Linked DNA regions of Callithrix jacchus. The protein of the gene in region 1 interacts with the protein of each later gene in a pairwise test. Links are inferred from orthologs where the notes say so. Each region holds a gene or a part of one and is shown on either strand. Other genes may lie near its edges. The genes, in order: KPNA5 and ANP32B.

Region 1 (16,522 bases):
GTCCGATCAGGTGTCCTGCCCAGCTCAAAGGCAGACTAGCCACTGTTTGGCTGCCGAGGCTCTGCCCTGCTGTTGTGTGATTCGCGCTGTTCCTGCCGGCTCTGCTGTGGTCTCCGCCACGCCCTGCGGCGGAGTCTCTTCGTTGTAGCGTGTTGCCTCAGCAACGGCAGGCTGCGTCAGCAGTGGGCGTGTATCTCAGTAGGGACGGGTTGCCTCGGCAACGGCTGGCTTCGTCAGCAGTGGGCATGTATCTCAGTTGGGGCGGGTTGCCTCGGCAATGGCTGGCTGCCTCAGCAGTGGGCGTGTATATCAGTTGGGGCAGGTTGCCTCCGTAGTTGTGGACGCCCCTCCCCCACAGAGCGTCTCGGACCGTCTGCCCGGGATAGTTTGAAATCGCGGTTTTGTTCGTCCCACTGGGTATCCCAAACGATCTGTCCCTGCAATCCCCTGGGCTGGGCTACTGTGCAAGTCTCGTTCAGTCTCAAGTCCAGCCCTCTCAAGTCTCAGGTTTCCGGTTCAACAAGGCACCCGGACAAGCGCGCCCTGTGGGGATTGCTGGGTAGGGCCGGCCGCCGCCACCCCGGCTGCCGGCTTCGCCAGGCAGACCTACTGCCTGGCGTCCCGTGTCTTTTTATACTTGGGAGTTTCCCCGTTCTGTGGGCAACAAAGATCAGTCTGGAAATGCAGCACTGACTCACCGTTTGCGAATTCAACGCGGGCTCCAATCCTGGGTTGTTCTCACAGCGCCATCTTGAGTCCCCTCCTATTTTTCATAATTCTATTTTATCTCCTTTGTTGGTTTTAGAAAGTAAATGTGTTTTTAACCAATAATAGCATCTGTTTTTGTTCTGTTAGGAAACAACAATCTTAAAAATGGAATGGACACATTTATATAAATGCAATTTTTAAATATTTTATTACTTTTTAATATAGTGCTATAACATTTCATAATATTGCATACTGCTCAAAAGTTGTTTTAATTAATAGGGTAAGAATATTTTCTCTTCTTACTCCCCAGTCAGAATTTAAACATATACTATCCTTTTAGAGCTCTATTATATTGGCTCCTAAAATGTCACATTTCATAAAACAGTAATGCTATAAACTAAACTGAATAAAGGTTTAAGAACAATTTGATTTCACAGTTTCACAAGCAGCCAGCAGATTGCTGAATTGAGAACAGCAACAAAAATTCACTAAGATTTTTTAATATTTATTTTTCCATAATGCTCCTTCTTAAAAAATATGAAGGCAAAGGTAATATATGCTTCTTCTAGTCCTTTATCCAATAAATCAACCTTTAACTGCAAATAGGTTTTACAAATGATATGTTAGTTCTGTGCCAGCAGAATTTATTACTTTTTTGCTTTCTTGTTCTGGTGTTACCAGTAAGTTGACCAAATGACACTAAAATGTAAGGACACTACCACTTGAAACAACTTTTCAAAATAAGACATAGTAAAAAGACCACACCAGTGAGTCAAGTCCTTACAAATATAAAACAAGCAAAATTGCATAGATTAAATAGGAGAAATTCAGGTTCAGACAAAATAAAACACCAAGTTTAATTAAATAAATGAAAAGGACTCCTTCAAGTATTTTCTTGATATTTGCATTAATGCTACATGCATTACTCTTTATAATACATTTTTTTTTTTTGGCATAGTTTCTCTTGGATTTAAATACAACAAATCTTAGAAAAACAAGTTTAAAAACGTATTTTTTTTCCCTCCACAAGGGCCAGTGAAGACTAATGAAAACATATTTTGGGGCATTTTATTTTTTTCTTTCCTTTTTTCTTTTTTCAATTTCTTTTTTTTTTCTTTCTTTCCTGGTCAGGGCTCTGCCTGATGGAGCATTTTAAATGGTATACCTGAAAAGAGTAGCTATATATTTTTTAAATTTTATAACTAAGTATTTGTTAGTCTTGATCCAATAAACTCAAAACAATAATCCAGGCCAAGAGCTGGTCCCAACTGCTATATAGTGCTCTTTGCAATCAAATCTAAAATTAATTACCCAAATAACGTATTCATGGGAATAAATATAAATTTGTACTTAAATGCTTATGAAGTATAATCATAGTCCATACTTAGAGATACGTTTTACTGGCAAAATTTAAGTTTCCTTTCATAGGTCTTTCTGTGTGCATGCATGAGCACACACATATTTATTATTTTTCCTTCTTTAAGAACTATTTTGTTTGAAAATTTGGGCTTAGAAATTTATTATATTGACTACAGGGTGCTCAAAATAAAAGGAGGCACAGCTGGTTAGTTTATGAATTATGCTGCATTATCGATTTTAATTGCCTAGAAAGAGTAGAATACCCTGTCACCTGAAACTTAGAACCATCTGCACCACAAAAATGTTTATCCAATAAATTCACCATCAATTCGGTACGCTTTAATATAACTACCCTGTTTTCTGAATATAGAGTTATGTAAAAGAAAACCATTTTATACTCAACTATATACTTTCTACTATGAAAAAAAAAGGACAGATACAATCTTCTACTTAACAACAATAAAAAAGGGCTGGCAGATGCAGTCAGCATTAGGGACACCATTTAAACCTATATCTTACAGCTGTAGGTTTTAAGTGTCTTGTTAACAGCTTAGTTTCATGATACATAATTTACAAAGCGACATGTTCTTTAAAAGTACTCCTATAAACATTTTCCTCTTGGAACGTGCCTCTGATTTCCAGCAGAAACATTATAAATACTATCATAAATGAAATCTTTCTTTAAAGAACAGACCATGAATCATATCAAAATTGCCTTAGTTCTCATCTTGAAAGTGTTGTAAACTAAATTTTAAATTAGTATTCTAGGTTTATAATTGGAAATGTAAATAGCCTATGTAGAACTATAAATTAAAAGACTGAGTTCGACAGTAGTTGAACTGTACGAGTAACACGCAGATATATATGTATACATAAATAAATATATATATATATAATTTTTCTATTGAAACCTTTCTTTTAAACTTTCAGTTTGAAGAGGTTTTGCTGTTAAATCATAAAACATACATATTGACCAATCTGACATGAATGTAATCTATAATTCATAACAAGCAGCAGTATAACCCTCTGAGTATTACTAAAAGAAAAAAAAGTCTATGATAGATTTGAACCATATTAAAGAATCCTTAGCAATTTTCATTATCACCATCATTTAGCATCCAAATGTTAAATGCATTTAATAAAATTTAACACATTTCTAATAACAGTAGGTTATTTTTTCAGGATAATTTTGTCATTCAAGTACCTAAACTTATTATTATATAGAAAATGAAACTTTTCAATTACTGCTCTGAAAAATCAGAGAAATAATCTAAGTTATTTTAGATATGCAGCACTATTTTAGATTCATGATGACATATCTGTCATGATGCTATTTAAAACAATGAGTGAAACAATAAAACACTATTTCAAAATGGTAGCATATTTGGTTGAAATACAAAATATACTAATATACATAACACATATGTGAAAAACACAAGTATTTAAACATCTTGTAATCTTCTTAATGTGTTCAACATGAAGAACAGCTTCTCTCTTCGCAATTGCCACATTTTAATGGATTATCAGTACAATATTTCTTCTATGTTTTATAAATAAATTTTATAGGTTTTCTGTTGCCATTTTTTTTTGCAAAATATAACCTACAGCACAGTGATATATGTAATTTAAGGTAAATATTTTCACATTCTAATTTAGCATTTGCATTATTTCATGCTTCTGAAGCTTTTTTGTTTTTATTTCTGCTTCAAGATAGAGGTAGATTTAGTAGAGATTGGGTGTGTAAGACTTACTGCCAAAATGCAATTATCAATAGGTGCACTGCTAATGTGCAGTTTCCAAGAATGCTTGAAAAAATTCAGAATTACTAAGTAATACTTTACCTAAGTTCTCCTTTTCAAGCTTAAATTACTAAAGAGTTGCATATTCAATTATTCTCAAATAGATACAAAAATCCTAACAATGGAAGATATAAATACAGGCACAACAACAAGACTAAAACAACAACAAACTACAATGAAAGGTTGCATCTGAATGAAAATTTTTGTTTCATTTTGCTTTCTAAAAGTGCGTCAAATTATCTTTTCTGTTCTATGTAAAAAAGCAAAAGTTCTTACTGACACTGGCAACAAAGAGGAGTTACCTGAAGCTACCCTTTTAGCCATACATTTTTTTTCCCTCCACCAAGTTAAAGTTGAAATCCATCCATTGGAGCTTCCTGCTGCTGAAATATAAACTGTTGTTGGTTTTCATCCACCTGCGGTACAATGCTGGGATCATCTTCTTCTACACCAAAGTAATGTTCAATCAGATCAAATGCCTTCTGGTAAATTTCCTGATTTTCATGGCTTTGTAAAAACTCAATTTTATCCAGACCTATTATATAAATGTATATATTAAAAACAAACTGTTACTACAATTTCAGTGTATGTTCAAATCAATATAATAAGTGAACATCATCTATCACCTCATTGGCAATGGAACTGCTATTTTAATCTAATTTTTGCACATATCAATAGCCATCACTTATGATTTATACTTCAAGAATGAGAGTATGTGGCAGTGTGAGATGAAGAAGGACCATAGGCCTGGGAGTAAGAAGATCACAGACACCACCCTGCTAGGTGTATGATCTTGGCCAAGAAAGTTCAGTACTTCTGTACTTTAGTTTCTCAACTGTAAAATGACAGTTTTAGATTAAGTAACTCCACAGGTCCTTTCCAGAGTAATTAACAAAGCACAAAAAAGGAAAGCAACAAAACAAATGAAAAAACCAAAATATGCTGAGCCAGAGAGTATCAGTATGAAATAAATGTGTAAAATTTGTAAACCCAGACAATAAAAAACATATGGCTGCTGTATGATGTAATAGAATTACAATCTGCAAGTGAAACTGAAAGGCCTCATTTTAAAAAGATGAGGATAATCTATAGCAACCGATTTTACTGCTTACAGGAAAAAGCTCTACACATAAGTCTGGGTAGTGCTGAAGATACATTTCATTTAATTATAGATAAACCACACATTTCAATCAGATTATCATAGAATAAAAAAAGCAGCAAAGCAGTCATATCTATGTACAATAACAGAATAGCCAAACTTGGGGCCAAAATAATGACCATAGTAAGACAATATTCTTAAATCAGTGACTAATATGTTGTATTCATGTAATGTCTAAGCCAGATATGTTATATAATTTGAAAGAAAATCAAAGTGGTGTCATGGGCATTAAGAATCATAAATAAAAGTCTGAATCAGCCATACAATGTAAGAGCACGTACTACAGAAAAGTGAATATTTAACGCAAATAAAAGAAAATAATCAATTTAGATTCATGTTTTATCTGAAATAAATTCCATATGATCAAGTTAAATGTTTTAAGAACCTAACTTTAAAAACTTGGCAAATAAAAAAATTAATTTTCATAAAATCTCTATAAGACAATGACTTTGTAAACTTCACAAGAACAGAAAATTCGCCTGAGTTATTTATGTTAAATACCAACGAACATGGTTTCTTTTGTTAAAATAAAAACATATTCAATGAATGATCTGAAAATAATAAAAAATAGACCAAAGGAAAAGTCATATCAAAATATACTATAAAATAAAATTCAAGTTTTTACCAAAAAAAAAAAAAAGAGTCAAATAGATCACCAAAGCAATATAAATATTCAATTTGGATGAGGAAATAGACTAACTGGTGAAAAATACATACTACTGGTCAGGCACAGTGCCTCATACTTATAATCCCAACATTTTGGGAGGCTGAGGAGGGGGGATCACAAGGACAGGAGTTCTACACTAGCCTGATCAACATGGTGAAACCCCTGTCTCTACTAAAAATACAAAATTAGCTAGGCATGGTGACACATGCCTATAATCCCAGTTACTCGGGAGGCTGAGGCAAAAGAATCACTTGAACTCGGGAGATGGAGGTTGTAGTGAGCTAAGATTGTGCCATTGCACTCTAGCCTGGGCAACGAGAGTAAAACTCCATCTCAAATAAAATTTAAAAAAAAAAAAGAAAAGAAAAATACATACAACTATCTATAGGAAATAAACCAAAAAATGTACCTAAAAGCAACTTGCTGTACTATTTTACATCGGCTGAGTCAGCAAAATCAACAAATCAAGTATGAGGTGGGAGAATAGATTCATATAATGCCACTGACACTATCAGCAACAGGCCTTTGGAAAGCAAAATAAGAAGACATATCAAAAGCTTAATAAGAAGACTCAGCAACTAAGACTCAGCAACTTATTCCTGAAAATTTACCCCCAGATATTAATTCCACAGAAGAAATAAATACTTTGGTATACATAAAGTGATAAATTGGGAACCACCCAATGTTCAACAACAGGTTATGGTTAAACCTGCATTCAAATGGCTAAAATCTCACTCAACATATAACATTATGGCCAGGCATGGTGGCTAATGTCTATAAGCCCAGCACTTTGGGAGGCTGAGGCAGGTGGATCACTTGAGGCCAGGCGCTCAAGACTAGTCTGGCCAACATGGTGAAACCCCATCTCTACTAAAAACAAAAATTAGCCAGGCATGGTTGTGTGCACCTGTGCTACTCGAGAGGCTGAGGCACATGAACTGCTTGAACCCAGGAGGCAGAGGTTTCTGTGAGCCGAGATAGCACCACTGCACTCTAGCCTGGGAGACAGAGTAAAACTGTGTTCTCAAGAAAAAAAAGTACATATATATTATATATATGTAAACACGTATCTATTTTTATATATGTATATATTTATATATGTAAATATGTATATAGTTTATGTGTATATATGTAAATATTTGTGTATATAATATAAATACATGTTTGCATGTATAAATGCATTATTACACATAATATGCACATATTCACACACACATATACATATAAATGTGTATATATAATATATGTAAATATGTATATATATTGTGTGGGAATGTATATATATTTATACATAAATATATATGTGAATGTGTATATATTTAAATATATAATATATATGTAAATATGTATATATTTATATGTAAATTTTATGTGTATGTATGTATATGTATATATACATATATATATATATATATATATATAAAACATTATGTGGTCATTATAATAAATACTATGTAAAAATGTAAAATTTCTCCAAAATGTTAAAAAGTAGAACATAAAACTATATTTATAATATGATTAGGTCAATGTAAAGTATTTGTGCATAAAGACAATGCAAAAAGAACAGTAAATAATAAAAATAAATTGTTAGGGTAATAAAACTATGGGTGACATTTTAAAACTTAAAAAAAATTATAGTGCTTTTACAACAAAAAATTTACAGGGAACTGGAAGGGGAAAGTATCTAAGACAGACAGTTAAGAACTATCAATAATTATAAATTTTTAACTGATTACTTACCATATGCTTCTTCAATGAGAGCACAGTATGGATTAATGCCTATTCCGTTCTGCTTAGATTCTTGTTCTCCAAGACGTAAAATATTTTCAAGTCCATTTAAAGCCACTTGGACTATTTTGGAGTCCATAACAGTCAAAAGATCACAAAGTGGTTTAATGCAGCCTAAGGCTACCAAATATCTTCACATTAATTTAAAAAAGAAAAAAAAGGGGAAAAAAAGATTTAAAAAGATTTAAGTACTATTTCTAGCAATGACACAAAAATATTCTTCATAGTGAATTGTTAAATAAGCAATTAGAAAAAAGTATTCCTATACAAACAAACATTAGACACATTTAAATTCTCACATAGGAAAATGAAAACTTTATTCGCCTATTCTCTAATTGAATATAATTAGCAACAAATGGTCTTGCAAATACTATAAAATACCCACACAGACTGGTACTTGTGCTTGTTTTTCATGGCAGATGTTCAAAAGGGTTTTTATTTTATTTTTAAGGCAAGCCTACATACACACACACAGAGGTCATATGGGGGTAGGCAGAAATGGAAAGAAGAGACTTCTAAATTAAACTTGAGAAAATTTCCCATAAAAACAATCACAGCTAATGTTCTGAAACATATGCTGTGTTTCAGAAGCACAGAAAGCCTCTAGAAACAAAACAGTCTATCTTGTGAATAATTTTCATAAATAATATTCACAAAAAATTCCATTAATTTCCTAACGCGTGTCCTTTTCTAGTTATTGGCCGGTTTTTTATACTCTATGATGTAAATGAAGTAACTGATTTGTTCACTTGGCAAAAAGTCTGTATTAAGTAGAAAGGTTAAAAACATACTATGAAGCCGGACTATGTGCCTTCAGATCCCAATTCCACTCCTTATTAGTTGTGTGACCTTGAGCAATTACTCTTTGTGTTTCAGTTTCCCCATCTTAAAATGGGAATATTAGTACCAACCTCAGAGAGTTTTGTGAGAACGCAATAGACATTTAATAGAAGTTTCTGTCCCTCTAAAAATGTATATACTTTCACCGCAGCACTCATTTGCCTTACACTATACTGTAGTTGATCAAAAATATCTGTCAAATGAATAACTACCTCACAGTTATGAGATTAAAGGAGATAAAATACATGAAAGTACCTAATACATTGCTGGTGCTCAATACTGAAATGATTTACTTAGCACAGTAACTGGCAATAGTAGGCACTCAACTAGTAGTATGCATACAGAACTTAATCTGGTATCGAGAGGTCTTTTCCCATATATGTAGACTCAATGAAATGATTAAAATGGTTAGAAAAATAATTATCTCAGTTTGGCACTTTAACTATACTGATAAATTAAAGGAATAACATACAGAATAGATATAACCATAAAAATTAACTGAAAAAATATATTTGCAGATAAACAAACGTGCAGTCCAAATAAAAATAAAATCAGCATTAAAAAAATAAAAACTAGAACAAAGGAAGGGTCTTGATTTATTACTGCTTGTATCAATGACACAAAGTGGAAATACTGATTAAAGCAAAAAGATAGTAGAATAGAAAATAAAAGGCAGAGATAGATGTTACTAATATATAGCGATACAAATTTGAGAGCAAGGTAATACTACAAATGAAGGCAAGACAATGATTTCACAATAAATTTCACTATAAAATAGCATTGTAATTTGACCTGTTTTATAAATTGAAAAATAAATTAAATATCCATTAGAAAATATTTTCTAAGAAGTCTAGTTTCATGGAGTGATTCTCCAAAGAAGACGATTCTGTACAAGTAAGGATTTTTTTAATAGAGGTGTAAATGAAACTTTGCTATGAAAAATAAAGAAGAGTCAAAGTACATGATAAAAAGAGATTCAGAAATCAATACTATAGTACAAATCATGACAATTACAAATAATGATAACAGTAGCTATTCTTAGTTATTATCTACTAGCTAATAATAATATTTAGGCACTGTACTGACACTTCAAAAACATAAATTTCACTTAAATATCAAAATACAGTCCCTTGGTTTCATCGGAGACTGGTTCCAGGACACCCTCCCTCTCCATACCAAAATCCACAGATACTCAATTCCTTTATATAAAATAGCATGGTATTTGCATACAACCTATACATATCTTTCCACATATTTGAAATCATCTTTAGATTAATTATAATAGCTTACACACTGTAATTGTTATGTTAATAATTGTTACACTGTGTTTTTAAATTTGTATTATTTTGTATTGTTGTACTGTCATTTTTTACTGTGTTTTTCTTTTTTAATATTTTTTACCTGCAGTTGGTTGAATCCACAGATGCAAAATGTGCAGATATCAAAGGCTGACTGTACTATTCGTTACTGGCACTCATTTTTAAATATGAAGAAACTAGATTAGAAGGGTTAAATGACTTTGTCAAGACCATACAACTTTTACTGAAGGAGCAGGATTTGAAATCAGGCTAACTTAAAAGCCCATGCACCTATTATTTATGCTGTCAGCAGAATAAATAAATTTAAAAAGCCTAGACTCAAAAAGCTAATATATATAGATATACTTTAAAAAGGTAACCAGTATAGAAAAATAAGAGATACTATCCATAGGCAAGGCTAACAATCAATGAGGAGCAGATCATCATGTAAACAAATGTCTATTTCAATTTTATTTAAAATGGATATTCAAATTTATTAGCCATTTCTATATAATAAAGCTATATTGTTGTGATTTTAATGGTTTAAAAAAAGATTTAATACCCATGATAGTGTACTCTGCAAATTAACATAGACTGTTCCCATTCAAATTTTTAATCTCTCATTTTTCATAAGAAGCCTATCAAGGAGAATGATGTTAATTATACTTAAAATGAAAAAAAAATTGTGAATGAATAATTGATATAATACATGCTATCATTTCAGATTAAAAATGCTTATCAAACTGACTTAGAAATAATATTTTAGTTTCATCAGTAAATAAAAGTATATTTTATTTCAACTTTTGTCTCATTTACATTTAAAAAACAATTAAAAAGTTTATATCATACCTTATTTGCTCTGGAGTACCTCCTGATGTTGCATTAGTTATAGCCCAAGCTGCTTCTTTTCTGGTACGGAACTCTGCTTTCTGAAGAATCTCAATCAAAACAGGAAAAATATTTGCATCTATAACAGCCTGAGAGGGGGAAAAATATATAATCACTACAAATACTGTTTCTAAAATATTACCAGTAAAAATATCTTGAAACCCAATAGCTTCAAAATTTCAGGGTTTTTGGAAATACCTTTCCAAATATTTTTTATTCCTAGACTGTCAGCAAACTTTCAAATATTTTTTCTTTTTAGGTAGGAAATTAGCTTTTCAAAGACTGGAGAATAGCAAAATATAAATTTTAGAGATCATAAAGCACAAGGTATGTGACTGATTAAAATGGATAAATAATTACTGACCTAAGAAGCTTGATAGGACCCTAATAAATCATTAAAAGCTTTGAGAGGAAGATTATTGCCTAACTTATTTAAAACTAGTGCAAAAAAAATCTTTCTAAAGACAAACCGTTATGTATCAGGCATTGTGCTAGGCGTGCACGTGTAGAATATAAGTAAATCTTACTATTTTAGAGGAGGAAAGGCCATGGTCTTTAAAATACTTTTTAGGTATCTTTTTAAAAAGAATTTTTTTTAGAAACTCACTGAAAAACACTGATAGACTTTTGTCCAAACGGGCTTCTTAGACCTTGCTGTTCTACTCTCAGATCTGAAGGGTATTTACCTGAATCTGAGCTCTATTTCCAGCAGTGATGTTAGAAACGGTCCAGCAGCCTTCTTTTCTAATTGACTCCTTTGGGCTACTCAATAAATGTAAGAGACAGGGTAATGCAGAACAATTCAAAATTACCTAAAACAAATTAGAAATGGAAACAAAAAGTTTTATAGTAAAAAATCTACATGAAAATCTACTAATGAATTATTTAGATGTACAAAAACAATTCTACAAAATAAAGAAAGGAGAAATTCTTCCCAAAGTAAAACTTGCTGTCTTCTACACTTCTGTTATTGATAAACCTAGTCTCGTGCCACTATAAAGAAGTGCCCTGTTCTCAACCCAATAAAATGAAAATCAGAGGTACGTCCTTCAAATTTACAAATGTTCTTGGAGTTCAACTGATAAAACTTTGAAAAAAGATTTGGTGATTGAAGTTAGAATCCAACCTCTAGTTTTGTCAAATGAATTGGTGAACATATAAATATATATCATACAGTCTAATACTGGAACCATTAAAAAACATTAGCATGTAGAATCAATTAGCTTCATAAAAAATTTTACTATCTCACTCTTCTTCTGTAAACAAGTATATTCTGCATTGTCCCTTTACATTCTTTAATCATAATTCTTTAAGATTAATTATGTTCCTATATTGGAAATACTCCAATGATTTACTTTAGATTCATCTGGTTGAAGAAGTACGGAGCAGTGCACTGGAAATCCAACTGAAAATTACAGTGCATGTCTAGAATGGCATTTTCATTTAAAGAGCTATATTAAATGAAAAACTGTCAATTACTAAAGAGCAACTGTTTAATAACTTTGATTAGTATCTAAATAGGCCTTTAAAAGGATAAAAAGGAAAGAAAATATGTAGGTTAGAATAAAAAATATACTGTAAGGTGGTAAACAAAGGAGAATCTAATATGTTAAAGAATTTAAGTTTCTATCTTCAAGAAAGATTGTGCTGGGTATGGTGGCTCATGCCTGTAATTCTAACACTTTGGGAGGCTGAAGCAGGAGAACTGCTTGAGCTCAGGAATTTGAGACCAACCTGGGCAACATAGCAAGACCCTGTCCCTAAAAAAAATTTTTTTTAATTAGCCAGGTGTAGTAGTGCACACCTGTGGTCCCAACTACTTGGAAGGCTGAGGTGGGAAGACTGCCTGAGAGGGGGAGGTAGAGGCTGAAGTGAGCCATGATCACACCACTGCACTCCAGCCTAGGGGAAAGAGCAAGACCCTGTCTCTAACTAACTAAACTAACTAACTAGCTAAATAAATTAATTAAAGATTGTAACCCAAATCTGGCTAGAGTCATTCTTGATGACACATCTTCTTTGACATCTCACCATCCTCCAAGATACAGATACAGACACACACACAATTGTGGTGATGTTAAGTCTTGATTAATATGCAATCAAGTCATATGAAACATAAATTTTTTAAAGTCCATTAGGTCAACAATTTATAATACTTAAGTTTGAACTCACCTGTGTTTGAATATCATCACCAGTCACAATATTACCAACTGCCCTTAATGCAGGTGATACAACTTTATAATCATTGTGCCTAAAAATAATAAAAACACGAACCTAAATACTAGTAAGAATTTAAAATTTACATAAAAGTTACAAAAATAGTACAAACTCCTGCAGAGTTTTCAGCCAAAGATCCCACTGAAGTTTTACTAATTATTCTGATAATCTTTATAACAAAGAATCGAATCCAGGATTATTAATTACAGTCAGGTTCCATGTCTTTCCAGATTTCTCAGTCTTCCCTTGATTTTCATGATTTTCCCATTTTTGAAGATCATATGCCTGTTATTTGGGTTTATCCAAAGTTTTTCATGATTAAGACCCAGGTTTTGGCTGTTGATACCATCAGTGCTATAATCTTTTCATTATATCCCAATCTGTTTTTTCCCATTATAATGGTACTGAACTCTGGTCACTAATTATGATGATGTCTGCCAGACTTTTCCACTATATCATTACTGTTTCCCCCTTAATAATATAATTAATATTTTGCAACAAAATACTTGAGATAATGCAACATCTCATTCCTTAACCTACTTTTACCACTAAGTTTTAGCATTTCTTGAGGCTTATTGTCTGAAGTGTTGTTAATTATTAGTATTATTATCAATGATGTATTTCTAATACTATCATTCCAATTACATGCTTTAATGTGGACTTGGATTTCATATTTTATTCAATAAAATATATGTTAATATAATTTATTTCAAAGCTCAAACTGTCCCGGGTTTGGATAGTGAGAATCCCTTCAAACAGGCTTCTGCGTCCTTTTCACATTTCTCCATTACTTGAGCACCCATTACTTCCTGCACTCATCTTACATTTTATCAGTTCCATCCCTGAAATCAGTCATTTCTCCAAGAATACTGGTTCCTTTCAATGGAGAGTGGAATTTAGAAACTTAGATTTGAACATTCAGTTTCCTCAGCTTATTAATGTATAAGTGTTACTGCTCCCAGACCCTTTAAGAGGACACACATACACACACACATATATATTTATTTCTATACCTAGCTATGTTAAGAGCCATGAGTTCACACTGATATTTCTAGTTCTAATCTAAAAATCATTAAATTATTCAGGTTTTCTCATCTTCCATATTTTTATCTCCATTCTCTGATAACAGGAAATAGCTTCTATTTTCTTAACCTCCCTACATCAGCCAATCTTTTACCTCTGCTAGACTGCCACCCCAGGATGTGTTGGCTCCAAGCCCTGTTCCAGCCTGCTTATCTGCTCACCCCAGTGGGTGCCATTATCAAGTTTGGGCCCTGGTCCCCACATTGAACCTGCATGCCTACCCTCCTCTGATGCTATCCTCATGCTGGGATCCCCAACTTCTTATCAGACCTCTCTTTGTGCCATCTACCTTGTTTGGGCCTACCTAATGACTTTTTGACAAAAGAAGAAGGGAAGGAAGATAATATATTTTTTAAAAGAAGTAAGAAGATGACGTTACAACATCTTTCTAAAACATGTTTTCTTCGGCTGGGCGCTATGGCTCACGCCTATAATCCCAGCACTTTGGGAGGCCAAGGCGGGTGGATCACAAGGTCAAGAGATCAAGACTATCCTGGCCAACGTGGTAAAACCCCGTCTCTTCTAAAATACAAAAATTAGCTGGGCATGGTGGTGCATACCTATAATCCCAGCTACTTGGGAAGCTGAGGCAGGAGAATTGATTGAACCCGGGAGGTGGAGGTTGCAGTGAGCCGAGATCATGCCACTGCACCCTAGCCTGGCACCTAGTGACAGAGCGAGACTCTGTCTTAAAAAAAAAAAAAAAAAAAAAAAGTTTTCTTAAACATAAACTTCTTTGTACAGAAAGCTGTTCTTTTTAAGGAAAATAGTTATAACAGCCCAGCAAAGAGAAATATATTATCTTTAATAGAAGTGAAACACTAAATGATTTTCGCTACATGGACTTTTACTCAAATTAAATATTACCAAGAATAATAAACTAGATTATTCATTCTGTGAAAGCAGAAACTGTGTTCTACACTTCATTAACAATGCCTCACACAACACCTTAGCAGCTAACAGACATTTCATAAAACTACAGGACATAAGTTACAAGTTTTAGGGTCAACTTTCTAGGATTATGGGTATTCTGTTAAGTGTAGGGTCATTAACTTTTTCATTTTCCCTGAAGATAGTGACTCCTGAGATATTTACAAAGCTATTACTTTAATTGCTAAACTTAATCCCAATTATATAATTAGTAAGCATAAATTATTTATAGTTACATCAAAAGTTCCACCAATCTTCGACAGACTCCAGAATCAATGACTGCTTGAATTTTATCATTGGGTCCATCAGAGAGATAAGAAAGGGCCCAACACACGTCTGCTAACACATCTGGGTCACTGCTAAACAACAATCGTGACAGGACATTTAAGCAAGGTGAAACCTGTAAGGAAAGAAAGAGCATATTCAAATTTTTTCTCTATTTAAAACCAAGTTTCCTTAGAAAAATATAGAAATTCATTTTAAAACAAAAATTTAATGTTATAAAAATACCAGAAAATGTATTATATTGTTTTAAAATTATAATCAGATATATGAACATGAAGCTGATTATGATTACTACTAATCTTATATTGAATGAGATATATGGTAAAATGTTTTAAAAAATAGTAAAATATTTGGGATCTCATCTGTGTCTAAACCACATACCCCCACACAAAAACAAGCACACCAAAACTGAGAAGTTCAAATGTTCCAGTTAAGTGTTTGATGCGATGATCACTGAATATAATCTAACTTTAATGAGCCTCACTTTATTCATTACATGTACTTAACTGGAAATAAATCTAACAATCATTTGAGGAACTAAGGTACAAAAAGTATAAAAATGAATATATCTGTGAAGAGTAGTCAAGTGGAAGTCATTAATAAACTATTACACTGATAATAAGAGTGCAGGTAGCAGCTAAGAACAGTGCCTGACATACAGTAGGCACTCAAATGTTGTTTTTTTTTTTATTCCCGTGATCACTATTGATGCTATGTTCCTTAAAGTTGTTTTTTAAAATCGGCAACTTGGCCAGGTGTGGTGGATGACACCTGTAATCCCAATACTTTGGGGGGATGGCATTGGTAGATCACGAGGTCAGGAGATAGAGACCATCTGCCTAACATGGTGAACCCTGTCTCTACTAAAAGTACAAAAAAATTAGCCAGGTGTGGTGGTGGGCACCTGTAATCCAGCTACTCAAGAGGCTGAGACAGAAGAATTGCTTGAAGCTGTTAGGTAGAGGTTGCAGCGAGCCGAGATCACGCCACTGCACTCCAGCCTGGGTGACAGAGCAAGACTCTGCCTCAAAAAAAAAAAAAAAAAAAAAAAACAGCACCTAACATATCCCTTAGTCTCTCTCCTCAGTTAAGAACTATAGTTATATGTTACATATCTCACAAATAAAATGTGATGACCTTTTTCTTAAATGTTCTAATATTTTGGATGAGTTTTCCTTTACCTCTATTTTAAAGATTATCAGCATGTAAACTATCATCTTCTGAAAGTAGTTACCATCTCTGCTGGGTCTGTCCTCTAAAGATGACCGTAAGACTCACGTACACAAATCAGTCAGCTTACAAAATAGATATGTCCATCTGTTAAGTTAGCAAATAAAATCAGCACAGCTGGATCCTTCCCCATTGATCATGCTTTCACCCTTGCCAGTCATCTCTTCCTTGAACAGAGAAATCAGGTTTTGGTATTTTATATTTTATTATTTTATTTTATTTATTTTATTGAGACAGGGTCTCATTCTGTTGCCCAGGCTGTAAAACTGCA
Region 2 (16,522 bases), on another chromosome or scaffold:
CTTTAGCCGTTGAAAAATACTCTGTAATCAGAAAATTGGTCCCCTTTATATCCAAGTTTTCATCTTAGTCCCTCACAATTAAGACACAGACCCCTGTACAGTATTGCTGACAAACGCGTGGCCCTTTTTTTCTCATTCAGCAGTTACGTAGGCTCATATTCAGTGATACAGTGGTAACCAGAATATACATGACCCTGCCATTATGAAGCTTAGTCTAGCAGTGACTCTTTTTTTGAGACAGTCTCAGTTTGTCACCCAGGCTGAAGTGTAGCGGCACAATCTCAGCTCACTGCAACCTCCGCCTCCCAGGTTCAAGCAATTCTCCTGCATCAGCCTCCTGAGTACCTGGGCCTACAGGCACATGCCACCATGCCTGACTAATTTTTGTATTTTTTTTTTGAGACGGAGTTTCGGTCTTGTTACCCAGGCTGGAGTGCAATGGCGCGATCTTGGCTCACCACAATCTCCACCTCCTGGGTTCAGGCAATTCTCCTGCCTCAGCCTCCTGAGCAGCTGGGATTACAGGCATGCGCCACCATGCCCAGCTAATTTTTTGTATCTTTAGTAGACACGGGGTTTCACCATGTTGACCAGGATAGTCTCGATCTCTTGACCTCGTGATCCACCCGCCTCGGCCTCCCAAAGTGCTGGGATTACAGACTTGAGCCACCGCGCCTGGCCAATTTTTGTATTTTTAGTAGAGATGGAGTTACCATGTTGGCTAGACTGGCCTCAAACTCCTGACATTGGGTGCTCCATCTCCCTTGGCCTCCCAAAGTGCTGGAATTACAGGTGTGAGGCACCATGCCCAGCCAGGAAAAACATGTTTTAACCCACATTTGATTCCTCTGGTACATTTTGATGACACCTTTACAATGGTTAAAGTGGAATTTTGCAAGTTGAAAGAAAAGTCTTTTAAGAGGTGATTTCACTCCATGAGCTGGGAGGCAATATGGCCAACTGTCACTTTACTTTTTGGATATTGGGTCATTTTGTGTAACATTTTTGGATTATTTTAGACAGAATTATAGAAAATCTCCCAAGCTAAATGGGAACATTTTGATTGTATTACAGTATACTGCTTTATATGGGTGGGTGATGACAGTTGACATTTTTAAAAGTTTAATGGATTGTTGGTTTTATGGTTTAGTTTAGAAACTAATGGTTTAGTTTCTTTCTTTCTTTTTTGAGATGAAGTTTCACTCCTTTTGGCCAGGCTGGAGTGCAATGGTGCCATCTCAACTAACTGCTGCCTCAGCTTCCTGAGTAGCTGGGATTACAGGCATGCACTACCACCTCCAGCTAATTTTGCATTTTTAGTAAAGATGGGGTTACTCCATGATCATCAGGCTGGTATTGAACTCCCAACTACAGGCATGAGCCACCGCACCCAGCCTAGTTTCTTTTTAATACAGAATTTAAAAAAAAAAAACAATAAATACATGCTTGTAAAAAATTTAATACAAATATAAAAATACAGCAAAGGTCTCTGACATTTCCCATTCCCTTTACCCAGAGTTTACTTTCTGGCCATTTATAGTGTTCCAAGCCCTAGTTCCTACAACTTCATGAGGTAGGTACTGTTATGTCCACTTCATGGGAAACTGAGGCACAGAGAAGTGAAGTGACTTACACAAAGTTGTACAAGTTCTGCGTGGCAGAGGAGAACCAGGATTCGACCCCAGACATCTTGTTTCCAGAGCCCAGCTTTTGTCAGAGTTGACCTATTTTTTCAGATGTGCTCATTTCTTAAAAGGGAAGAATGGCAGAGATATCTAAAGAAAAATGGAAAGAAGGAAGGAAGGGAGGGAGGAAGTATGTGGATGTAAAGAGTAAAATGTATGCCTGGCTTCTGAAGAGGAAGTAGACAGGGTAGTGAGAAGTGGTTAGGCACTTACTATGTTATGGGTATTGCTGACTTGAAATCTGTTTCTTTCTCTATAAATGGGGGAAGGAGAGTGGTGGTAGAAAGAATAAATGTTTACTTCATAATTGAAAGCAATTATTAGAGTAACATCATTGGATTTTGTATGAGAGGATGAGGACATTGTTAATAGCTCCTGTTCTCTTTTCAGAGTATTAGCATCTCCCATATACATGCTTGATTAATGCCATTAAATATGGTAGGTTCACTAAAATTCTTTACAAAGGCATTCCGCCTTTGTTGGTGCAGTTAAAATGGTAATTTGCATCACTGTGAGTAGATCAAAGTGGGCTAAAAAAGTTGCAAGTTTCAGGGTGATCAAGAATGGCAATATGAATTATTGTGGTAGATCTGCATGTAGACTCTTAAATAATCAGTATTCAAAAATTCAAATCATCAGATGTGATGCTTTTTTTTTTTTTTTGAGATGGAGTTCTACTCTGTTGCCCAGGCTGGAGCGTCATGGTGCAGTCTCAGCTAACTGCGCCTCCCGGTTTCAAGCAATTTTCCCGTTGTAGCCTCCCAAGTAGTGAGATTACAGGCACTCGCCATAATACCCGGCTAATTTTTGTATTTCTGTAGAGAGGGGGTTTTACCATGTTGGCCATGCTGGTCTTGAACCCCTGACCTCAGGTGATCCGCCCGCCTTGGTTTCCCAAAGTGCTGGGATTACAGGCGTGTGCCACTGTACCTGGCCAGATGTAGCCTGAAAATGAAAACTTATTATCTAACAATTCTCTAGAAACATCTTTCTCATGTGCAAACCAGATCGATTTTTGTTTTGAATTAAGGACTCTTGCATCCTGATTTCTTCCCGGTGTCAAGATAATCTTGGCAAAGATTAATAAAACCAGAGCTGGAAAGTGTGTTGGTACAGAAATCTCTAGCCAGAATCTCTTAGTGGTCTTGGTAGGAAAAATAAAGCTTTCCTCTTTTCTGTGGTCATCTTCTGGGACTTAAGGTAGATTAGCCTAAAGAGTGTTTTCACTCTGTATTTGCATTTAAATGAAAGCTGCCCTTTGGGGAACAGACTGGGGAAAAGAAATAAGGGGAATACACTTACTTCACTTACATCTAAAGTATAGTGTCCGTTTCTGGAACATGAGTGTTTTATGCTAGTAATATTCCATCTTTGAATCTGTTAGCATATTGCTACTGAAGGCTTAATTATTTTTTATCTTTTTATAACTATGCTCTAAGTCTAAGAGGCTGCCCATATTATATGGGTGTTTTTGCAGGGTATTTATGGTGGAAGTTTTTGCATTCTTTGTTTTCAGAAATTTTTCTGAGAGCTTATTCTTTTTTGTCATCCACAGGTTCGAGAACTTGTCTTGGACAATTGCAAATCAAATGATGGAAAAATTGAGGGCTTAACAGCTGAATTTGTGAACTTAGAGTTCCTCAGTTTAATAAATGTAGGCTTGATTTCAGTTTCAAATCTTCCCAAGCTGCCTAAATTGAAAAAGGTAGGTGCTTTTCCTTTAACAGTAAAAGAGAACAAACCTGGGAAGGGAAAATGTATGATTTTACCTGTAAGGAAGCACTTAGTATAGCAGAAAGCACTTGACCTTTGGAACTGGGCAGATATGGGATGGAATTCCAGCTCTATCATTTCCTTGATGGGTGATCTTCTTCAGGTTACTTAATTTCTCTAAGGCCCAAATTCCTCACCTGTAAACTGGTGGCATTACCTGACCTTGCAGAATTGCTGTGATGTTTGGAAATAATGCATGTCGGGTGCTCAGTAAATAGTTAGGAAGAATAATTACTGTGTTTTGTGAGTAATTTATTTGTTAATTGTTATAAAACCAGTTCTTTATCCTTTCGAAAAAAAGGACCAAATGCTACAGAAAAATGTTTTCTTTTGTCATTGCACATTTAACTGTCACAGAGTCCCAGGACATCAGAATTGGAAAAAACTTTGCTCTTCTAACCCAGCTCCTTATGTTACAGACACAGCAATAGTCCCAGAAAAGTATAGTAATTTGCCTAAAGCCACCCACAGAAACGGTTAGTACTAGAGCCAAAACTAGAACCCATATCTCTCCTAACCTCATACCTTTTCCATTATATAGGAAAAAATGTGTGCTTATATAAGTATTGCAGAATTCTCTGCCATTTCAATATTCACTGTACTAGGAAACTTAAGTTGTACCTTTTTTTGACGAAGTCACACATAGAAGGAAATAAAATCAAACTTAGGTAAAGGTAGGCTGTTCCCAGAGCTTGCTTGTGTTCTGAGAGGGACAGTTAGTTTTTTTTTTGTAATGAAGGTTTTGTTGTTTTGCAGGAAGTGGGATGGGTTAAGTATGATACATGAGGTCGGCGCCATGGCTCACGCCTGTAATCCCAGCACTTTGGGAGGCTGAGACAGGTAGATCACCTGAGATCAGGAGTTCAAGACCCTTCTGGCCAACATGGCAAAACCCCGTCTCTACTAAAAATATAAAAAAATTAGCTGGGCATGGTGGCACGTGGCTGTAGTCCCAGCTACTCAGGAGGCTGAGACACAAGAATCACTTGAACCCAGGCAGCTGAGGTTGCAGAGAGCCGAAATCGTGCTACTGCATTCCAGCAGCAGAGCAAGACTCTGTCTCGATTTTTTTTTTTAAAAAGTATAGTACGTGAATTAAAAACTAGAAGTTTTTTTTTTTTTTTTTTTGGAGACAGAGTTTCACTCTTGTTACCCAGGCTGGAGTGCAATGGCGCGATCTCGGCTCACTGCGACCTCCGCCTCCTAAGTAGCTGGGATTATAGGCACGCGCCACCATGCCCAGCTAATTTTTTGTATTTTTAGTAGAGACGTAGTTTCACCATGTTGACCAGGATGGTCTCGATCTCTTGACCTCGTGATCCACCCGCCTCAGCCTCCCAAAGTGCTGGGATTACTGGCGTGAGCCACCGTGCCCAGCCTGAATTTAAAACTTTTAACATTTAAACATTAATCACTTCTTTTACAGGGCTAATGAGAGGGAATCATACTTAAAGGCAGGTTGAGTGTTCTGATGACTGATAAGGACTTTATTTTCTTCCTATCCCAGAACGTGAACTGTTTTTTGAGACAAAGTTTCATTCTTGTTGTCTAGGCTGGAGTGCAGTGGCATGATCTTGGCTCACTGCAGTCTCAGCCTCCTGAGTAGCTGGGATTACAGGCACGTACCACCACGCCCGGCTAATTTTTGTATTTTTTTTTTTTCTTAGTAGAGACGGGGTTTCACCATGTTGGCCAGGCTGGTCCTGAACTCCTGACCTCAAGTGATCTGCCTGCCTCTGTCTCTCAAAGTCTTGGGATTCAGCATGAGCCACCATGCCCAGCCCACAAACTGTTTTTAACAAGAAATAAGTACTGAAAAAAATGGTATATAAATGTCAGTTTTCTAAATTTAAACATCGATTTCATTTCCAAAATACATATGGTAATAAATGTTTAAGTATATTGCCTTGTTATTCCTACTCCCTAAGATACTCATGTTGAAAGGATGTGGATGTTACATGTGTATGTAATATTTCTAACCACATGGTCTAAAACATGGGTCAAGAAAAGTGATCTGTTTTTATTTTGATGTACTGAAATAATTAATAAAGCTAACACTCGACTGTTGATCATAGACACATTTTTAAGCCTAGACCATGACTAGATATTTCATGGAAAATTTCCCATTGGAAGGAAAAAATGTTTTAAAATGTTATATTTTCCTCTTCTGAAATATTTAATAACACCTTAAGCAGTTGACTAGTTTTTTTGACTAAGTTTTCAGCAAATACTTATATTTTTAAAAGTTACTCTACTTTGCATCATGTAGTACATTTCATTGCATGCCAAAAACTTCATTACATGACACTTTCATGCTATTCCAAGTATGTAGCATAATAAGGAGGACATGGATATTTATGAAGCCAGCCTGTCTGGCTTCAAATTGTAAGCCCACTATGGTTATTTTTGTCATCTGTAAACAGGAGTGGTAATTCTGCCTACCCCATAGGGTTCTTGTGAGATCAGATGAGTTAAGGTATTTCTAGTGCCTGGCGTTTAAATACTATGTAAGGGTTAATGTTACTGTTGTTGGCACTTTAAAATAGATAATTAGAATCAGCTGTGTAGCTTGAGTTTTTCTTGTCTGCTAAAGGAAAAGCTTGAATTAGTTGTTCTTCACAATGCTTTCTAGGCTCCAGTTCCTTCTACTTTAAGATTCTAATATTCCTTGGTGAAGGCTCATTCCCTCATTGGCACACTACTTGCAAGTGCTACTTGACCTGCAGCTAAGAAATTAGAGTAGGTTCTAATAAAGGCTAGTGCCAAGTTTATGCAAGATGTGGACTCTAAGGAGCTGGTTTCATAAACCTGAGGCTGCTGCTTTATGCACTTATTTGTAGGGCCCGTCTCTCTCTTGTGGCTTTCAGAGCAACATTCCCTGGTGGCTTCAAGAACTCCACCATGTATGGCAGCATTGTCCAGAACCAGATAAGGTTTCAAGTGGGCGTTGCAAGTTTTGAAGGTCCACAAAATAAGCTGCTCAGAATGCACAGACTGTTAAACCATTTACCCTTTCTGGCAGGTATAGGGTATTGTCAAATAATTCTAATTGGTTTTGAACCACTTTTTAAGTTAGAAAATTTATTCACTGATGTTAGAGACCGGTTGTTGACTAAGCTGTTATTAGCAGCTGACTAGGAAAACAATACTTCTAACCTTACCTTCTCCTGTTAATTATTTGGATTTAAACAAAATGAACATGCATGCCTTAATAGAAATAGGGATTATTTGATCTTGATAAATATTTGAGAAGTCCTTTTTACTTACAATACCTTAAATGATGTGTGTTTTCTCTGTGTGTATTTGTGTTTGTGCTGTGTCCATTTTCTCTTGCAGCTTGAACTCAGTGAAAATAGAATCTTTGGAGGTCTGGACATGTTAACTGAAAAACTTCCAAATCTCACACATCTAAACTTAAGTGGAAATAAACTGAAAGATATCAGCACCTTGGAACCTTTGGTAAGTAGTTAAGAATTTGGAAACTGGGACTTACTGGTCATTTTCATTTTCATATTTCTTTATAGTGGGGGAAATTACTGGCAATAATAATTGGTTGAGAAAGTTGTGGTTTTTTACTTTTTATAGAAGTCCCAATTTTAAAGATCAGGGCCTCTCTAATTAGATGTATTCTTGTGTCTTTACTCTTTCCCTGCCTGATACTGTGATGGCATCCTTCAGAAGAGGATTTTTGGGGGTGTTTTGTTTTGCGTCCACTTCTGAAATTTATGTATTGACTATATAGCCTTAAACATGTCTCTTACAATTTTTTTCCCCAGACTGCCCAAGCCATTATGCACTTTTATACTTTAACAGAAAAGGCTATTTATATTGTGTGGCATACCTGATTTGTAGATGGAACAATAAAAGACAGCTCCATTTTAAGCTTTAGGTCATCTAATTCATGACCTTGTGTTCTAGTTGGATTACTGTGCCTAGAGTTTTGCATGGAAACCTCAAGATACTCTTCAGTCGTACATATTGGGATAAGATAGGAAAAGCTAAGTTTCAGTGCCACTTGGGTTGTAGACTTGCTGTGTGACCTTGGGCAAACTGCTTCTTCTCTCTGGGCCTCAGTTTCCTCATTTATAGCAGAGGATAACAATCTCTGCCTTACTTACCTCACATAGGAGTTCTGAGAATAAGATAAAGTAATGTACTTATTTGCTTTATAAGGTAATCTGCTCACTTTGCTTTTTGTCCAGTTTGTGTGTAGGTTGTAGAGGCCAGAAAAGGGCTTCCAGAGGCAGGACTGGAGATAAGGGGCTTAATGCAGTTTGTAGGGCCAGTGCCACAGGCTCTGCTATTTGGCAGAGGGTTATATAGCATATAGGAGCTGTCTTTCAGAATCCAGAACAGACCCTAGAGGGTAAGACATTTCTTCTCTGTTGTTTCTGTCCTGATGTCAGAGTATATTAAAATATGTGAATTTCACATCAATTGTGTAAAATGCTCTGTTGATATTTCAGGAGAAGACGGAGTTAAATTGTACCTTCTTTAATGAAAAGGATTTCCTGTCGAGTTAGAAGATCTTTTCCTTTCTAAATTATTGAGACTCTGCTCCAATACAGATTCAATTACCTTTTACTGAATCTCTGCGTGTATAATATATGTATTCTTTTAGAGAGAGATGTTAGGCCAGGCTGGTCTTAAACCCCTGGCCTCAAGTGATCCTCCCACCTTGACCTCCCAAAGTGCTGGGACTATAGGCCTGAGCCACCAAGTCCGGCTGAGTCTCTTTATTTTTACATTTCATTAAGTTGTCCATATTTAAGAGCTCCTATTTCTCATAAATGTAATGCCTCACCAGTGCTCCATGAATTTTGCCCTTTTTTCCTGTTACAGGTTTGCCTAGATACTCAGGCTCTTACTAGTTTTGTTTCCTTCAAACCAACCCCCATTTCCAGTGTTTAAGCCGACATTTATTGACTTTTACTGTATCCAAGGACATTAACATTTGCCCATTGTATCCTTAAGTAACCCAGAGAAGAGAGAATGACTGTCCTCTTTTTAGAGATGAGGAAGCGATGAGTTTGGAGAATGTAGTACATTTCATTGTAGTACATTGTAGTACACTGCTCTGGGTAAATGGCAGAGTAGGAATTCAAATCTAAGTCTGGGCTGGGCAAGTGGCTCAGGCCTGTAATCCCAGCACTTTGGGAGGCCAGGGTGGGCGGATCAGTTACCCAGGCGTGGTGGCAGGTGCCTGTAATCCCAGCTACTTGGAAGGCTGAGGCAGGAGTATCACTTGAAACCCAGGAGGCGGAGGTTGCAGTGAGCCGAGATCATGCCATTGCACTCCAGCCTGGGCAACAGAGTGAGACTCCATCTCAAAAAAAAAAAAAAGAATTCAAGTCTGCTCTGCTTTCCATAGCCCTTGGGACCTGTTCTTCTTTTTCCATCTGTAATTTATTTCATGCCCAGATTTCAACAGGAGCACCAAATTTTAACTGCTGATGCTTTCCCATTCAGATGGGCTACACCAAGCCTATGTTTATTGGTTAGTGACAGACACACTAATCATAGGTTGTTGTGAGCATAAGAAACTCTTCTCCCCTTTTTTTCTAGATTTTTAAAAAAACAGAGTAGCAGGCAGTACCTTTTCACAGTTGATGACTAGCCATTACCTAATTCTGGTGGCAACTTGAGTTCTCTTTGATTATCATCAGCCTTTTTCAGTGTTGTAGCACACAGAGATGGAGCAGAAGCAAATACTGTGTGGGAGTTGTTTGCTTGAGTTTTCCTGATCTGGTCAGTAATGTATGAGAGGACCCTCTGATGGCTGTGAAAGTCTCAGTCCCCCAGGACAGTGGAAGGATGAAAAATAATCTTCATTGTTTATCATTTTTAGAGGATCTGCTATACCCATACACTTACTGGGTGCTTTATGTTTTATTGGTGGTTGTCAAAAAAAAAAAAAAAATCTTCGCTGTAAAGTGGATAGAAATAACATGGCCCTTATTTTATGTTGAGGAAGCTAAGGCTTGGGTGAGGCTGAATCCCTTGTCCAGAGTCACACACCCTGTGTTGGAGCCACAGGGCTACACACCAGAGCTATTTCGAAAAGCCTGGGGTCCCACCATTCTGCTGTACTTGGCACTCGGATTCCTTGGAATTAAGTAAATCTGTAGGAGAAGGTGAAGGGGGGAAATGTTGGGTCAATTTTGACTTCTGGCAGTATTCTTCAGTGGGGAAAAACACCATCCTCATCCTCATTAACCACATACATTTTGAACACCGTCTACTTTGAGCCCAGTTCTTACAGTCAATGCAATGATTGTGAATGCCTCTGCTTGCTACAGGGACATTAATCGAGAGACAAAGAAGGCATCAATTCAAACTTCCTTGGACACCTTTTTTAAGAGACCTGGGCCATCCAAACCATCCCCCAAAGCCCTTCTAAATTCTAAGAAGGCAAGCAAAATTATTGTTAATAAAATGTTTAATGTTTATTATGGCTAGCTTATTACCTTACATCAAATTTCTGGTATGGTAGAGTTGTAATTTTTTTAATCAGTATTTACACATTACATTGGGATCCTGAATAATCTGTGTGTAGTGTATCTTGTGCCTATTGGGCCTTAAAGCACAATTTTACTACTTTGAACAATTCCAGATTACTATAGTTATTTGGGATTTTTGTTGTTTACTTGCTTTCATTTCATTTTCCAACCTACTGATTGGCATGTCCAAATTACTTGATAATGGGTGCTTTGCCAGGAAGTAGCCAAAAATCTCACATAATTGTACAGTTTCAGAAACAGAAGAGCCTTGGAGGCCCTGTATACTGGAAGAGTCAATGAAACTAGAGAGAGAAAAAAGGGCTTTTGGTGGTATTATAAAGCATTAGATAAATATCTGAGGTTGTATGTCTTTGTACACCTATTTCTAGGAAATCTGAAATGCAATTGGCTCGTCCTTTAAGTGGAGAATTTTGAGAGTGAACCTTTTTGGAAAAGCTGCCTAAATGTACTTATGGTTCTATCTTAGCTGGCATAGAGTCAGCCTTTGTGAAGAGAAAGCCAGTATGCTAGCTACCTGTCTGGGGTGGCATTGCAGCAGTTTTTCCTCTTTGGCAAGAAGTCATACTTGGGCTCCTGGAAGTCAGGGCCTGACCAGAAGGGAACCTAATCTGAAAATTACATGATACAAAAGCAGCTCTATGACCAGAAGGGCTGGGGAGAGCTTTCTTAAGACATCAGGGAACTGACTATATAAGCACATTGTTTGATCCACAGACTCTTGGATCATTATACATTTATGTTATGACGGGTGCAACATTTGCCTGTTGATCTAACCCTGCTGTATTTATTCCCTGCATGAATAAAACAAGTGTGGGGGTCTCTTTCTTGATCAAGAAGATGAAGTTTCTTCATGTGCAGGGGTCAGGAGTCCTTTTTTCTAAGGGCCAGATAGTAGGTTCATTTGCCTTTGTAGCCTCTTTATCTAGTCTCGGTCACAACTAGCCTGCTTGGCCATTTTAGCACATAAGGAGCCATACATAAACAAGTGAGTGTGACTGTGTTCCAATAGAGCTTATTTTACAAAAACAGGTGGTAGGCCAGAATTGGCCACTGGAACACGGGTTCCCAACCCCTGCTCTATAGCCTTGCGGCAGATTTTCACATTGTTTTATATCTCCTCAGAACAACATAGATACCTTGAGTTCTGAAAATAACCTGTTTTGTTCTGTCTGCATTTCTTCTCAAGTCCTTATGAGTGTTGTACCAGCTTTCCTAATAAAGCAGCAAAGCCTGTTCAGCATCAACATTTATTTTTTAGAAATTACTTCATGTGGCGGTCCTCTTATATTTGTTTGGGTGTTTCTAGTACTATTTTCTTAGAGAATACCAATCAAGTTTTTCTCTTGATTCAGAACCATTAAAGGTTGTGTTTATGAAACTATCTAGATAGATGTACTTATCGCCCCTATTCTGAAAGGCACCAGGCTACGTGCTACTTCACATTGGGTTTGCCTTTCATAGATTTCTCCCTCTTCTACCTACAGGGGTCTGCTGTCACTTCCTGTTGCTATCTCCTGACTTGCTTGTAGTAGTACCTCTGCCCTCAATCTCTTAATTTTACCCTTAATCAAAACCAAGTAGACCTGGGATTGAAATACTAGTAGACTGACATAATAACAAACGAAGATCTTAGTAAATACATAGACATTTTCCTATGCACTTTGACTACTCAGAAAACTTGATTTGAGCCCCAAGTTTTTATAGCTTAACTGTTTTTAGATAGATGAAACTGATGGTTCCAAAGAAATGAGGTATTGCAACAAAATTTCAAGGTATAGTAAGTAAAATCAGAAGAACTGCATCATAAAAGTCTGGTAACATGTCAGTCTTTTTCCTAACAATTAAAAAAGAAGAATGCAGTATTTCTCCATATTTCTGAAGTTTCAACTCTGTACCCCTCTGCATTTTCTCCAGCCTGTGTTGACTCCTGTCTTCCCTGAAAATAGCTGCATTGCCACACTTTATATTTTATATTTCACCCTCTAGTGTTTCATCTCTGTGCCCTAAGTAAAATTGTAAGTACCTTGAGATGGTGTTATAAATCTCTGAATTTTTCCCTATAATATCGCCTCAGAATATTAGAGACTACTTAATACCCAGGAGGTTTTTAATGGCCATTTGATTATGCAAATGTTAACATTTGTTTCAACAAAATGTATTAAACTGTTTGATTGTCTCATACTGTGAAAATAATCTGGATATGATAAAAATTATTTTCATTTTATATTTCTTTAGACTATGCTGCCAGAAAAACATACAGTTCTCTGGGAGAGTAAGTAGAGAAAGAGAGGGACTAGTTAAAGTCTAGTAACCTAATATAAAGGTTGCAAAGACTTGATGTGTTTTTCTGTATACAAGACTGAGTGGGTAGCAGGAATTGAATATAGAGCCTAGAATTTTACCTCTTCAAGAGATGGGTTTGTTACTTATATTCCTTTTGTTTAGGAGTTGTGTCTTTTGATCCTTTTCTTCAGAAAAAGTTAGAATGTCTGAAAAGCCTGGACCTATTTAACTGTGAGGTTACTAACCTGAATGACTACCGAGAGAGTGTCTTCAAGCTTCTGCCCCAGCTTACCTACTTGGATGGCTATGACCGAGAGGACCAGGAAGCACCTGACTCAGATGCCGAGGTGGATGGTGTGGATGAAGAGGAGGAGGATGAAGGTGAGTAGGCTCAGCATCCAGTGAACTTGATGTCTGCCTTTGAAAGCCTCTGTTGAAAGCTATTGGATGCTTGCTGGGCGCAGTGGCACACGTGTAATCCCAGCACTTTGGGAGGCTGGGGCGAGGGGATTGCTTTAGCCCAAGAGTTTGAGACTAGCCTAGGCAACATAGCAAGACCTTGTTTCTACAGAAAATAATAATAAAAATCAGCCAGGTGTGGTGGTGCACACCTGGAGTCTTAGCTACTCAGGAGACTGGAGGTTGAGGTAGGAGGATCACTTGAATCCAGGAGTTTGAGGCTACAGTGAGCCATGATTATGCCCTATTGCACTCCATCTCACATGACAGGCAGTTTCAAGCTACCTGATGTTCTTACTATTGAGGAAAATTGTGTGTGTGTGTGTAATTTTTTTTTTAATGTAGGCATTCCATTAAATTTATAGCTAAGGCCTGTTTCATAAACTCCTGGCCTCAAGGGATCCTCCCACCTCAGCCTCCCAGGTACTGGGATTGTAGGGATGAGCCACTGAACCTGGCCTGGGAAGCATTTCCTGAAGCCTACAAGCTAGGTTAAGATGCTGTGCTTATTAAACTGTAAACCCCTTACTTACTCTTACAGTCTTGCCACTCTGCTGTTCTTAAGTCTTCCTACTTTAGGGGTCTCCAACCCACAGCCCACAGACTAGTACTGCTCCATGGCCTGTTAGGAACCAGGCCACACAGCAGGAGGTGAAGGGTGGGCAAGTCTCATCTGTATTTACAGCCACTTCCTATTGCTCACATTACTGCCTGCGCTTCGTCTCCTGTCAGATCAGCAGTGGCATTAGATTCTCAGAGGAACTCTAACCCTATCATGAACTGCACATGTGTGAGGGGCCTAGGTTGTGTGTTCCTTATGAGAATCTAATGCCTAATGATCAGAGGTGAAGCTGAGGCGGTAATACTAGTGCAGGGGAGTGGCTGCAAATTCAGATTAACGTTAATGGAGAGGTTTGACGACACAGAGACCATAATAAATCAATTTCTTGCAGACTCCTCAAACCTGTCAGTGAGTGGCAAGTCACATTTAAGCTGTATTTGCTGTCAGGCTTTATAGTGGCAAGTGAGTTGGCGTATTTCGGTTGTACAGCTGCATCTGGTGATAGGCTTTAATCAGAACCTGATGCTTATTTTAGTCCATGTGTGGCCTTCCCATTTTTTAATTTTCCACTTCCATCCACTCCTCTTTCTTGCACTGTGTATTCGTTTTAGCCCCAGTTTTGGTAAGCCCACAAGTTAACCCTAGCCAAAACAAGTAAAAAAACAAGTATAAGTGGAGAGCTTTGAAAAGGGATAAAGAGGGCTGGGCGCGGTGGCTCAAGCCCGTAATCCCAGCACTTTGGGAGGCTGAGGTGGATGGATCACGAGGTCAAGAGATCAAGACCATCCTGGTCAACATGGGAAACCCAGTCTCTACTAAAAATACAAAAAATTAGCTGGGCATGGTGGCGCATGCCTGTAATCCCAGCTACTCAGGAGGCTGAGGCAGGAGAATTGCCTGAACCCAGGAGGTGGAGGTTGCGGTGAGCCGAGCTTGCGCCATTGCACTCCAGCCTGGGTAACAAGAGCGAAACTCGATCTCAAAAAAAGAAAAAAAGGGGGAAAAGACTCAGTAATGAGATAGCAGAAGACAAGACTGCCAATGGGAAAAAAGCTTCATTAAAAAAAAAAATACCAAGAGTGATATTTAAATTACAGGTTTATTAAAACAGGTGATTCACATTCCCCAAGCCCACTTTGTATAATATGTGGCAACCAGCTATCCAACACAGCCATGAAACCTTCAAAACTGCTTCACTGGCTGGGTGCAGCGGCTCATGCCTGTAATCCCACCACTTATGGAGGCAGAGGCAGATCACCTGAGGTCAGGAGTTGAAGACCAGACTGGCTAACATGGTGAAACCCATCTCTACAAAAATTAGCCAGGCACAGTGGCGTATGCCTTTAGTCCTGGCTACTTGGGAGACTGAGGCATGAGAATTGCTTGAACCTGGGAGGCGGAGGTTGCAGTGAGCTGAGATTGCACCACTACACTTTAGCCTGGGCAATAGAGCAAGACTCCGTCTCAAAAAAAAAAAAAAAATTATTCAACACATGGAGAGCAAGCACCCTGCATTTAAAAGACAAGCCTTTAGAGTTTTTCAAAAGAAATATATGTGAACACAAAGAACAGAAGCAATTATTGAAACCTACCACTTCATCAAATGTGTCTGCACTGAGAACATCTAGGAGAGGCTACAGTTAAGCTGCAGTTAAAAGGTAGCACATGTTCCTCTTTCGGCTAGCACCGTAAACTAGATGTTGATGAAACAGAGAATATCGAGGCACAGTTGTTAAAGAGGACTGATGAGTCACCAAGGTATGCATTGCAGCTTGATGGGTCTGCCGATGCTGACAATATGGCAACAATGCTTGTTTTTGTGTGATATATTTTCAGGGAGGATGTGCATGAGACTATGTTATGTGTGCTTCATTGACAACACCACAGCTGCAGAACTATTCAAGTCTTTTGAATGATTAGGTATTAGGAAAACTGAATTGGTCATTTTGTATTGTATATGCACAGATGGAGTGGCTGCCCTGGCTGGACAGCTTTCTGTTTTCACTACTTGGGTCAGAGAGGTTGCTTCTGGATGTGAGTCTGTGTACTGTGTCACCCATGGAGAAATGCTGGCTAGCTGACAGATGTCACCTGAACTTAATGTCTTGCAGGATGTGATTAAAATTAACAGCCACATAAAAGTACATCCCGTTAACCCATATTTTTTCACACAACTCTATGAGATAGACACAGAGAACACGTCTTCTCTTACACAGAGAAGTGAGATGGCGTTTTAACGGTAGATCACTGGCCAGAGTTTTTGAGTTACGAGGCCTGCTCCAGAGATTTCTTTTAGAATAACAGTTGCCACTGGCAGAACATTTCAGTGATACAGAATGGTAAAACTTATTTTTTTTTAAGTTCAGGGGTACATGTGCAGGTTTGTTGCATAGCTACACGTCTGCCATGGTGTTTTACTGCACATATCATCCCATCACCAAAGTATTAACCCCACCATCCATTAGCTAGTCTTTCTGATGCTCTCTTCTCCCTGCCCCTGCAAAGACCCTTGTGTGTGTTGTTCCCCCCTGCCATGTGTCCATGTATTAACATACGGTGTTTAGTTTTCCGTTCCAAGCATTTGAATTTTTGATGTGTTTCAAACATTAGTAGTGATATTGAAAGAGACTGAGCCAGAACCTTCTTTCTCTCAGCTGGTGCATGATCACCTATCTCAGCTTTCAAAAGAGTTTGAGCATTACCTCACAACCACAAAAGACCCTCGAACTCGAAAGGACCCATTTGTGCATAAGCCAGGTCAATTGACTTTGTCCATGCTTGAAGAGGATTAAATGATTGAAATCACAAATGGCAGTAGCCTTAAAAGTATGGTTTGTGACAGCTTCAAAATTTCCGTATATTCTGGATTAAAGTCAAGGTGGAATATTCTGAGACTGCCACAGAAGCACTGAAAAACCTGCTCCTGGTTCCACTATCCTGTCTTTGTAAAGCAAGGTTTTCTGCAGTGACAGCAACCAAAACAAGATTATGGAGTAGACTGGACCTAAGCAACACATTTCCGGTGTCACTGTCTTCCATTGCCCCCAGATGGGACTGTCTAGTTGCAGGGAAAACAAGCTCAGGGTTCCTCTGATTCCACATTATGGTGAGGTGTGTACTTATGTCATTATATAGTATAATGTAATGATAGAAATAAAGTACAGAATAAACATAATGCATTTGAATCATCCTGAAACCATCTTCCCACCCCCAGGCTGTGGAATACTGTCTTCCACAAA

Evidence for each region.
Region 2: the proteins of KPNA5 (region 1) and ANP32B interact in binary tests that used the Homo sapiens proteins (3 or more experiments, as listed by UniProt). The two-hybrid records come from large-scale screens. The link is inferred for Callithrix jacchus from reciprocal best matches to the Homo sapiens genes KPNA5 and ANP32B.

What each region holds. Positions count from the first base shown.
Region 1 is NC_133505.1:123,054,124-123,070,645, reverse strand, and holds the end of KPNA5 (importin subunit alpha-6), read right to left. Parts: intron 15,137-16,522; coding exon 14,973-15,136; intron 12,758-14,972; coding exon 12,679-12,757; intron 11,319-12,678; coding exon 11,193-11,318; intron 10,596-11,192; coding exon 10,468-10,595; intron 7,612-10,467; coding exon 7,433-7,611; intron 4,402-7,432; coding exon 4,214-4,401; 3' UTR 3,255-4,213; downstream 1-3,254. UniProt on the Homo sapiens protein: Functions in nuclear protein import as an adapter protein for nuclear receptor KPNB1. Binds specifically and directly to substrates containing either a simple or bipartite NLS motif.
Region 2 is NC_133502.1:146,120,030-146,136,551, forward strand, and holds part of ANP32B (acidic leucine-rich nuclear phosphoprotein 32 family member B), read left to right. Parts: intron 1-3,240; coding exon 3,241-3,390; intron 3,391-6,794; coding exon 6,795-6,917; intron 6,918-12,453; coding exon 12,454-12,643; intron 12,644-16,522. UniProt on the Homo sapiens protein: Multifunctional protein that is involved in the regulation of many processes including cell proliferation, apoptosis, cell cycle progression or transcription.